Linked DNA regions of Tribolium castaneum. The protein of the gene in region 1 binds, or shares a complex with, the protein of each later gene. Links are inferred from orthologs where the notes say so. Each region holds a gene or a part of one and is shown on either strand. Other genes may lie near its edges.

Evidence for each region. Proteins that work in one complex are often made in the same cells at the same time.
Region 2: PolE1 (region 1) and PolE4 share a complex: the UniProt entries of both Homo sapiens proteins name them as parts of the DNA polymerase epsilon complex. The link is inferred for Tribolium castaneum from reciprocal best matches to the Homo sapiens genes POLE and POLE4.

Annotation. Positions count from the first base shown.
Region 1 is NC_087396.1:21,698,676-21,704,070, reverse strand, and holds part of PolE1 (DNA polymerase epsilon catalytic subunit 1), read left to right. Parts: intron 1-291; coding exon 292-485; intron 486-537; coding exon 538-1,071; intron 1,072-1,118; coding exon 1,119-1,386; intron 1,387-1,570; coding exon 1,571-1,744; intron 1,745-1,790; coding exon 1,791-2,231; intron 2,232-2,640; coding exon 2,641-3,006; intron 3,007-3,078; coding exon 3,079-3,485; intron 3,486-3,534; coding exon 3,535-4,405; intron 4,406-5,395. UniProt on the Homo sapiens protein: Catalytic component of the DNA polymerase epsilon complex. Participates in chromosomal DNA replication.
Region 2 is NC_087395.1:5,461,349-5,465,462, forward strand, and holds PolE4 (DNA polymerase epsilon subunit 4), read left to right. Parts: upstream 1-1,804; 5' UTR 1,805-1,912; coding exon 1,913-2,125; intron 2,126-2,175; coding exon 2,176-2,316; 3' UTR 2,317-2,332; downstream 2,333-4,114. Other genes in the region: E3 ubiquitin-protein ligase Hakai, read right to left, coding at 1,062-1,249, 1,301-1,508. UniProt on the Homo sapiens protein: Accessory component of the DNA polymerase epsilon complex. Participates in DNA repair and in chromosomal DNA replication.

The sequences.
Region 1 (5,395 bases):
ACTGTGACACGAATAGTTTTGGAGCACGAGGAAGGAGTGTTAATAGTGTTAAGTCTTATAAAAGTTATAAAACAAGTGTATTATTTTTTCTACTTTTTCTATTTTTGTTGTTTCCTCTTAATTTTGTTAATTATTCGGGCTTTATCAGTAAACGACTTGATGCTGTTGACAGATCACACACTAGATTACAGTGATGACACCCAGCCCTCTTAAAAAAGTTCTTTTTAATATGAGTTAATACAAGCGAACTCCTTGGTGAATTTTAATTTTATTTTAATATTTGTGGTCAAGGTATGACCCTGTGGAGTTGGACCCCGAGGAGATGTGTCCTTTGGCGGCCTCCCAGCCGCAGGTCCTCTCAAACTACTCCGTTTCGGACGCCGTTGCGACCTACTATCTCTACATGCAGTACGTCCACCCTTTTATTTTCGCCCTTTGTACCATCATCCCTTGTGAGCCGGACGAGGTCTTGCGGAAAGGCTCCGGTGAGGCTTTCCCCAGCCCTTGGTCCCAACTTCGTCATTTGGCGGGTTTTAGGCACCCTTTGTGAGGCCCTTTTGATGGTGGAAGCCTTCCATTGCAATATCATTTTCCCCAATAAGGAGGAAACAGTCCTTAATAAGTTAACCGACGACGGTCATGTCCTACACCAGGAGACTTACGTCGGCGGCCACGTGGAGGCGCTCGAATCAGGGGTTTTCCGCGCCGATATTCCCTGCCGTTTTCGGCTAGAAACCGACGCCCTTAACAAACTAATCGAGCAAGTGCCCAAAACCCTCGCACACGCGATTGAAATCGAAGAGGGCGTGCCGTTGACCGACGTCACTAACCTTGAAGAAGTAACCAATGAGATTGTCGCAAAGCTGACAAGCCTGAAGGAACAACCAATGAGATTGGAGCGTCCGTTAATCTACCATTTGGACGTGGGGGCCATGTACCCGAACATTATCCTAACCAATCGGCTACAGCCGTGTGCCATCGTCGACGAGACAATTTGCGCCGCCTGCGATTATAATAAACTGGGCGCCAGGTGCCAGAGAAATATGGCCTGGATGTGGAGAGCGGAATACAGTGAGTTGGAGAAAAAATCGTTTATTCAACTCGTCAATTTTTTGTAGTGCCAGCGTCGCGAAATGAGTACCACCGCATCCAGCAACAACTCGAAACCGAGAAGTTCCCCCCGCAATATCCCGGGGGACCCCAGCGGGCGTTCCATCAACTCACCAAACAGGAACAAGCCGATTTGGAGAAGAAACGGCTCACTGTTTACTGTCGCAAGGTTTATAAGAAAGCTAAAGTCACCAAAATCGAAGAACGGACCACTACGATTTGCCAGAAAGAGAATTCGTTTTATGTCGACACAGTTCGGGCATTTCGGGATCGAAGGTATTTTAATTAAAGCCCTAAATAAAGTTCATAAATAAATGAAATAAATTTCAAATCCACAACAAAAAAATTCTGGCGAAAAAGTCATTAAATATTAATTGAATCATGTATTTTTAAACAAACTTTGAATTACTACAGTTCTTTTACTGTTTTGAATGTCATTGCTTTGATTTGGTTGGTGTAGGTATGAGTATAAAGGCTTGTCGAAAAAGGCAAAGCAGGCCGTGGCCGCGGCCATCAAAGGCGGCGACGCGTCCGAAATCAAGTCGGCCAAGAACAGGGAAGTGCTCTACGATTCGCTGCAATTGGCCCATAAGTGTATTTTGAATTCGTTTTATGGCTACGTGATGAGACGAGGGTTGGTGGTTTTTTCTTTGTTTGCATTTTTTCTAGTTGTTTTTTAGGGCGCGTTGGCACAGTATGGAAATGGCGGGGATTGTGTGTTACACGGGCGCCAACATTATAATGCGCGCTCGTGAAATAATCGAAAAGGTTGGCAGGCCTTTGGAACTTGACACTGACGGTATATGGTGTATTCTACCGGCTTCGTTTCCCGAAAATTTCGTCGTGCGTACCAACCACGAGAAAAAAAATAAAATTGTGGTTTCTTATCCTAATGCCGTGCTTAATGCCATGGTCAAGGAGCACTTCACCAACGATCAGTACCACGAACTGGTCGATGCGCAAAGTTTAAAGTACGAGGAACGGTCAGAAAACTCGATTTTTTTCGAAGTTGATGGGCCCTATAAAGCCATGGTACTGCCGGCGTCTAAGGAGGAGGGGAAAAAGTTGAAGAAGCGCTACGCTGTCTTTAATTTCGACGGTACTTTGGCCGAATTAAAAGGGTAGGGTCTAGGGATATCTAAAGGTTAGGATGTGAAACGACGTACGGATAAAACGTTCCGCCCTCCATACTTCCGATAATGTCGCCAGAGGGCGCAGTATAAGTTTTCAGAGAATTTGAAAAAATTATTGTGTCTAACGGTTAACACACAGCAAACAAAAAATACAGGTGGATAGAGCATTAAATTCTCAATAGTAAGACATTAACATAATGCAAAATATGTATAGTATACTATATTTAAAAAAAAAACTTTTACCAATTTGCACTCTGCGGTTACAGAAGCAAGAAAAATGTTTGAAAAAATACTTTTTTTTTGGTTCAGAAAATCGTGCGATTTTGTACATCGTTTCGTCTCCTAACTTGTAGTCCTCCGTAGTAATAAAATTGGCGAAAAAAATATTTTTTTATAGTTTTGAGGTAAAACGTCGCGGCGAACTCCAGTTGATCAAAAACTTCCAATCGTCGGTGTTTGAGGCGTTCCTCAAAGGCGACACTTTGGAGTCGTGTTACGCGGCCGTTGCCCAAATCGCCGATTATTGGTTAGATGTTTTGTTTTCGCACGGTCGTAACATGCCCGATTCTGAGCTGTTCGACTTAATTTCGGAAAACCGATCCATGTCGAAGAAACTCGAAGAATACGGCGGCCAGAAAAGTACTTCAATTAGTACCGCCAAACGTTTGGCCGAATTTTTGGGCGATCAGATGGTCAAGGATGCCGGTTTGGCTTGCAAGTATGTCATTTCGAAGAAACCAGATGGCGCTCCGGTTACAGAAAGGTGAAAAATCCCTCGTCCATCCAAAAATTTGGTCTACATTTGGACGCCTGTAGATAACAGTTGAACTTGCAGAGCTATTCCATTGGCGATTTTCCAATCGGAAGTCAGCGTCCAGCGGTACTACCTGCGCAAATGGCTCAAGGACAACTCAATAAACGAAGTCGACATTCGCGAAATCTTGGACTGGAACTACTACATTGAGCGCCTCGGTGGTGCCATCCAGAAAATCATCACAATCCCGGCGGCCATGCAAGGAGTGCCCAATCCGGTGCCACGTGTCCGCCACCCTGATTGGCTGCACAAAAAAATGCTCGAAAAAAACGACACTTTCAAGCAACGTCGAATCACCGACATGTTTGCCGCTTGTCCCAAACCGCAAACACTGCCCGACATTGAGGACTTTGGCGGTACTTCCAGCACCGACAAACGCCCCATTGTAACAACAATTAAACGAAAACGAGACTCCGATAAAGAATCAGGTCTACTGCCAGTGAGCGCAATTGTTTCCTAAATTATACTCTTCCGTAGAATCAGGTTTCACTGAAGAAGATCTGAGTAAGACGTGGCGTGAAGTTATGGGGAACCCGCCCCCTTACGGTACCACCAAGGAGGAACACTTGGCTTGGATAACGTTCCAGAAACGCAAGTGGCTGTTCCAGGCCATGCAGCGGGCCCAAGGCACCCGCAACAGGAAGAAGGCCAAGTCAAGTGCCTCAGTTTTGCGCAGCACCGTCACTGGTACTTTGAGCGGGTTCCTCCAAAAAGCCCAAAAAACCCTGCTGACGGTTCCTTGGCAAGTCATACAAGTGGCCCCAACGCCAGTCGCAGGCGAATACAAACTATGGGCCCTGATACTCAACGAACTCCACCAAATCAAGTTGGTAGTGCCGCGAATTTTCTACGCCAACTTGAAGGAATCAAAAGTGGTGGAAGAAGGCGCTCTGTTCAAGAAGTGTAACCGCACGTTGCCGCGTACGAGACAAGTGTACAACTTGTACATGTACAGTGTTCCCGAAGAAGTGTTCCAGGAACACGGCCGGAAATTGTACTTGGATCAGACGGATCCGAATGTTGAAGGCGTTTACGAGACGCAAGTGCCGCCGCTGTTTCGCACTTTTGTCCAGATTGGTTGCTTGTGTAAAGTGGTAGGACAGGTTTCAAGCTTGGAAAGCTTCCCATTGGACAATTTGGAGTTGTGTACGGCGCGAAACCAATATTTGGTCAAGGATTCGGTGAAAAGATTGTTCTTTTATAATCATCGGCACCCAACTAAACCGCAACAAATCTTCGGGTTGTTCTTGACTCCCTTGAAGAAGGCGCTGGTTGTGGTCGTTGATACGGTCAAGACCAACTTGATGCCGAATTTGAACAAGTTGTACCAAGCCGAACGAATGGCAAAGTGAGTACTGGATTTACAAAGTGGCTTATCAGCTCTTTCAAAACTATAAAAATATAAACTATAAAGATTGATAAAAACGCAAAATAGTCATTAATGATTAGTTCTCTCATTGAAACTTTAAACTAGATTTACTAAAAATTTCTAGGGTTAAAACAAAAAAAAACAATCTTCACATTTTTATTTTTATTTAATACACTATCGGACAAAAGTAAGGCAACATTTTGAAAAATATAGAAATTAATGTCTATCTAATGTAAATAAATTATGATCGGGCAAACTATGGTATTGTTAAAAGAATCAAAGGAAGCTACTGTCATTAATGTCAAGTAATTATTTATTAAGGTTGAAAAAAACCGCTTTGTTGACTTGTAGTGTAAAAAAGGATTATTTTAAGACGACAAAAGTAAGGCAACATTTAGATTTTTTTCAAAAAATGTTGTTATAATGAAAAATTTGTTAGGCCAATATTAACAGTTCGTCTTGCGCAACAAGAGCCATGCCAACGGGTACACCAATTGGTAAAGAGTTGAAAGAAAGAGTGATCGATGCTTTCTTAAACAATGAAAAACAAGCGGATATTGCAAGAAGATTTCAACTGCCTAGATACAGCGTGTCTAAAATAATTATTCGCTACAACGAAAGAGGACATTTAAACAATAATCCAAAATCGGGACGACCACGAAAAACCACTATAAACATGGACAGACGCATTAAAAGAATTTCGGAAAACGATCCATGGAAATCTGCATCTAAAATTATAGCGGAAATACCGGAAGTAGGAGTTAGTACACGAACAATTCAAAGAAGACTGGTTGCAGCAAAGCTTTTTAGTAGACGTCGTGCTAAAAAACCTTTGATTTCAGAAAGAAATAGACGCGCCAGACTTCAATTTGCAAGAAAACATTTGAATTAGACAAAGCAAGATTGGAGGAAAGTTCTTTGATAGATAAAATCAAGGAAGTGTGGTCAAATCTGGATGAAAATGTTATT
Region 2 (4,114 bases), on another chromosome or scaffold:
GAAATAATTGGAAATTTGTAATTTCCGTTTTTAATTTTTCAAGGGAAAACCAAAAGAACTAGAACTAGAACATTGTTCAGAAATTTTTTTACAAGAAATCTAAGTCTGTCATTCCATTTTTCAAGGCGTTCTTGATGTCAGAGTAACAACACTCAACTTTTTTTTTCTTATGGAAGCCATATTCACTTTTTCTATTTTTAAAAAGTGTTTTTATTTCCGGTTACAACGATGTATCACATAATATAAATGAATCATGTATACTGATCAAAATGAAGAAAAAATCATTTTTGCAAAGAGTGCTTTGGAAAAAAACGCCAACAATTTTGGTTTTAAACAAACTAGATTTTAGAAGTTTAATTGAATTTGGGTCTAGCACTTTTACATATCCGTCAAGCTTACTTATTAAAAACTAAACGACATGATAAACTAGGAGTTTATTCTTCGAAAAACAAAACAACACAAAGTTATAAAAATTCTGCTCTCATATTTAATAGAACAGTCAAAATTTAGTTTGTTAAACAAAGTTTTTTTTGTTTGCGCTTAATAAAATAAAAACCAAAATTATAAATTTTTGATTTTTCTCAATTCAAAAACTAAAAACCACACATCTAATTTTCTTTCAGATAATTGTTTAGCATAAAAATGCGCAACTTTGCCCATATTTAACCAACCTCGTATCTCTTATAATAACTGAGATCCCCATGGTAAAGCTGGAAAAACGGACACCCTGTATACTGTTGCCCACTTAGGTGGCAGGAAGTTGAAATTCCAAATTTTGCATCAGTTATATCAGTTATATCTTGAAAAATATCGCAGTTTGTGCAAAAATCAAATTTCAAAAAAAGCGGTTCAAAATCGTTCAGTAGAGGGCGCAGAGTAAAGTGGATAAAAATGTGAGATTTGATTTTGGTAGCCACTGTTGCCAACCTAATTTCTAGTTACAGAGCAATTTGATTAAAATTTAATAAATCCCCGTTTTTAGATTTAAAATGATCAAGCCTTGTTTAAGTACATTTTTGCGGATATTTTAGTAGAAAATGTATTAAAAATAAAGAGTTTACCATTCGTCCATAGATTAAAATCGGCTTCAAACACTTATCACAGCAATGAATCATGGGATTGAGCACTTTTTCGCCAATCAAATTCACTTTATGTGACCAATCTAGCCGCAACATTGGTTCTGGTGGCCCTCTGTTAATTGTTGTAAAAGTCGGTGCTTCCAGTTGGGAGATGTCAGCTTCCAAATCAACTATAACATTCAATTGTCATTCAAGGCTGACTTTAATTCAATTAAATTTACTTTTAGGTGCCACATTTTCGTTAGATTCACTTTCAGTTTGTTGTGCCTCTTCGGACGATTCTTGCAGTTGGGAATTATCCAGTTCTTCATCGCTTTCTATCACTTTTATGGCCTTTTTACCACGTCCGCGACCTCGGCCTCTTCCCCGACCTCTGCCTCGACCACCGCGACCCCGGCCGCGGCCCCTCTTGGGGGTACCATCGTCCATCTATGGGCAGAGTTATTGCAACAAACCCAACAAAACACTAAAATAGATGCGGTCAAAGTTATTACCTTTTATTTACTTGATCGTTGACGTAAGAGCGTCCATAATTTTGAGGTTAAGACTTTGTCAAATGAAGGGATACCAATCCACTTGGTACATCATTCAAAATTGAATACAAACCGCAATAAATTAACTTAATCAATAAAATTATCAATCCCTATCAATATACCGCATAAAAATAACACAACTGTGAGACAATCTAAGCCAAAATTGTATTTTATTACTAATTTTTTTAAATAATTTGGGGGATTTCGTTTTGTAACCACCTTACCTGACTTTGAATAGCGCGCGATTGAGGTTATGTTGTGAAACTTGAGTGGTATTTATTTAAAATTTTAACAAATAAAATGGAAGATATCAACGAAGTGGATATAGAAGAGATTGAGACTGAGAGGCAGCCCGTTACCGAAACGCCAGAATTCGTAGAATTAACCACAACATCCCCCGAAAAACCCAAATTAGTGAAACTACCCCTAGCTAGAATTAAACACATTATGAAAATGGACCCAGACTGTAATTTAGTGAGTCAAGATGCCCTATTTCTCGTGACCAAATCAACGGTAACAAAAAAAATTTGAGTGTTAGCTTAGGTACTCAATTAAAATTTCAGGAGATGTTTCTGGAGCACCTTGCTAAAGAGTCTGGCAAGTTTATGGGGATGGGGAAAAGGAAAACTGTACAGAAGCGAGACGTCGATGCCGCAATTGATAATATACCTAGTCTTTGTTTCCTTGATGGTGCCTTGGAATAAAATACTTTTAAGATTATTTTCAGTTAATTTTGGTAAATCTTATCCTATTTTCGTGTTTGCGCCTTCGCAGTTATGTTTAAAAAAAAAACAAAGAATAAATAGCAGATCTCTTTTCGAATTTGGAAGTTTTTTGTCTTTTCGGCAAATTATTCCTTTCATTTTCACTGAAAAATGTTTCTAAATTCACAATAGAGAACCTAACTAAATTAAGGATTTTCCAATTAGCTTCGGAAAAATCATTTGAATTTACATATTCGACGTAGGTTCATATGTTTTCTCTTTTTTGCCAATGTATTTCTAGATTAGTGAGTTTCTAATTGAAGAACACTCGCAAAATTCTCGAAAAATAATAGGAGTAATAGAATTAACATATTTGCGTCAGATTTACTCTAACAAGTTTCCACTTTATTTAGAACAAATCTCACAAAACGGTGAAATATGTTTTCAAATAAAGTCATATACAGGGTAAACCAGGGGTGTCCAATCGGTCCATAACATTTTAGCTAATTGATATATTGCCATGTCGTTTTTATTATCCCATATAACATGCTGATTCTTTTAGGACCTACAATTAGAAACTTTTTAACTTCTTATAGCTAGAGCTTTAAGATTTTGTATACAATCCAAATCGACCATTCTGAGTTCAACTAAATTATTTTCAAAATAGCTACGAACTACGAAAAATTGGCGCCAACTTTGAAATTTTAAATAGTAACCACCTATTTTTATTGCATTTCGCCACTTGAAACTGAGTAAAATGTTACTGAGTAGTTGTTAGTACTTATCTGTCATAGTTTTTGACGTACGTCAAATTTTTTACACAGATTTTTATTTTCAGGGGTTCATTTAAAATATCACAGCTTGTAAACCCTTTACAATAAGTAAATAATTCTTTTTGCATTTGATAGCCAAAGGTATGAAGAATTTTCTAAAATATTCAGGATTGTCAACTGTCAAATTGCAAGAATACTAGGATTTTTTGAAAATGATGATTAAAAAATGATTATAAAACAGTTTTTTCAAATGGAATGACCTTGTGTTTTCAATGGCAATCAAAATAACATCTATTTTTATGCAGACTTTTACTAATTAACATATATATTCGGTTCACTTTCATAAAAACCATTGTGGTGCAAATAACGTACTCTTGGCATTAACATTTACATAAGTTGTCATGGTAACAGGTTAGTCATTTGCACCACAATGGTTTTTATCAAAAAACAGTATTTTAGCTCATTATTTTCATTTTTAATCAAGTAAATTTTCGAAAAATACGATAAAATTTTACTATTAATCAAGAAACCATAATTAAATATTATTGTTTTACTGCTTATTCGATATTCGAACCACCTAAAAACTAAATAAAATATATGGAAGTTTGACAATTGCTTACGATTTTGCAAGGTCTACTTGATTAAGTATGGAAATTACGAAGTAAAATCCGTTTTTTTTGTGATTTTTTTCAAAAACTGTAAGAGATAGGTATAGGACGTATTGATAAAAATCACCATAAATATCTATGTTCTTTCGACTGCCGTTAAGAAAATAAGGTCGTTCCAATTAAAAAACCTGAGTTACAGCAGTTTTTTGATACCCATTTTAAAAAATCATACTAGCCATGAATTTTGGCAGTTGACAATTTTGAAAATTCTAGAAGACTCTTCAAACCTTCGGATATTGAATGCAAAAAAATCATTCACTTATTGCAAAAGGTTCAAGGGCTGTGATGTCTTAGATAAACCCTTGCTAATGAAACTTTTAACAAAAAAATTGACAATGTCAAAAACTATGAAATGAA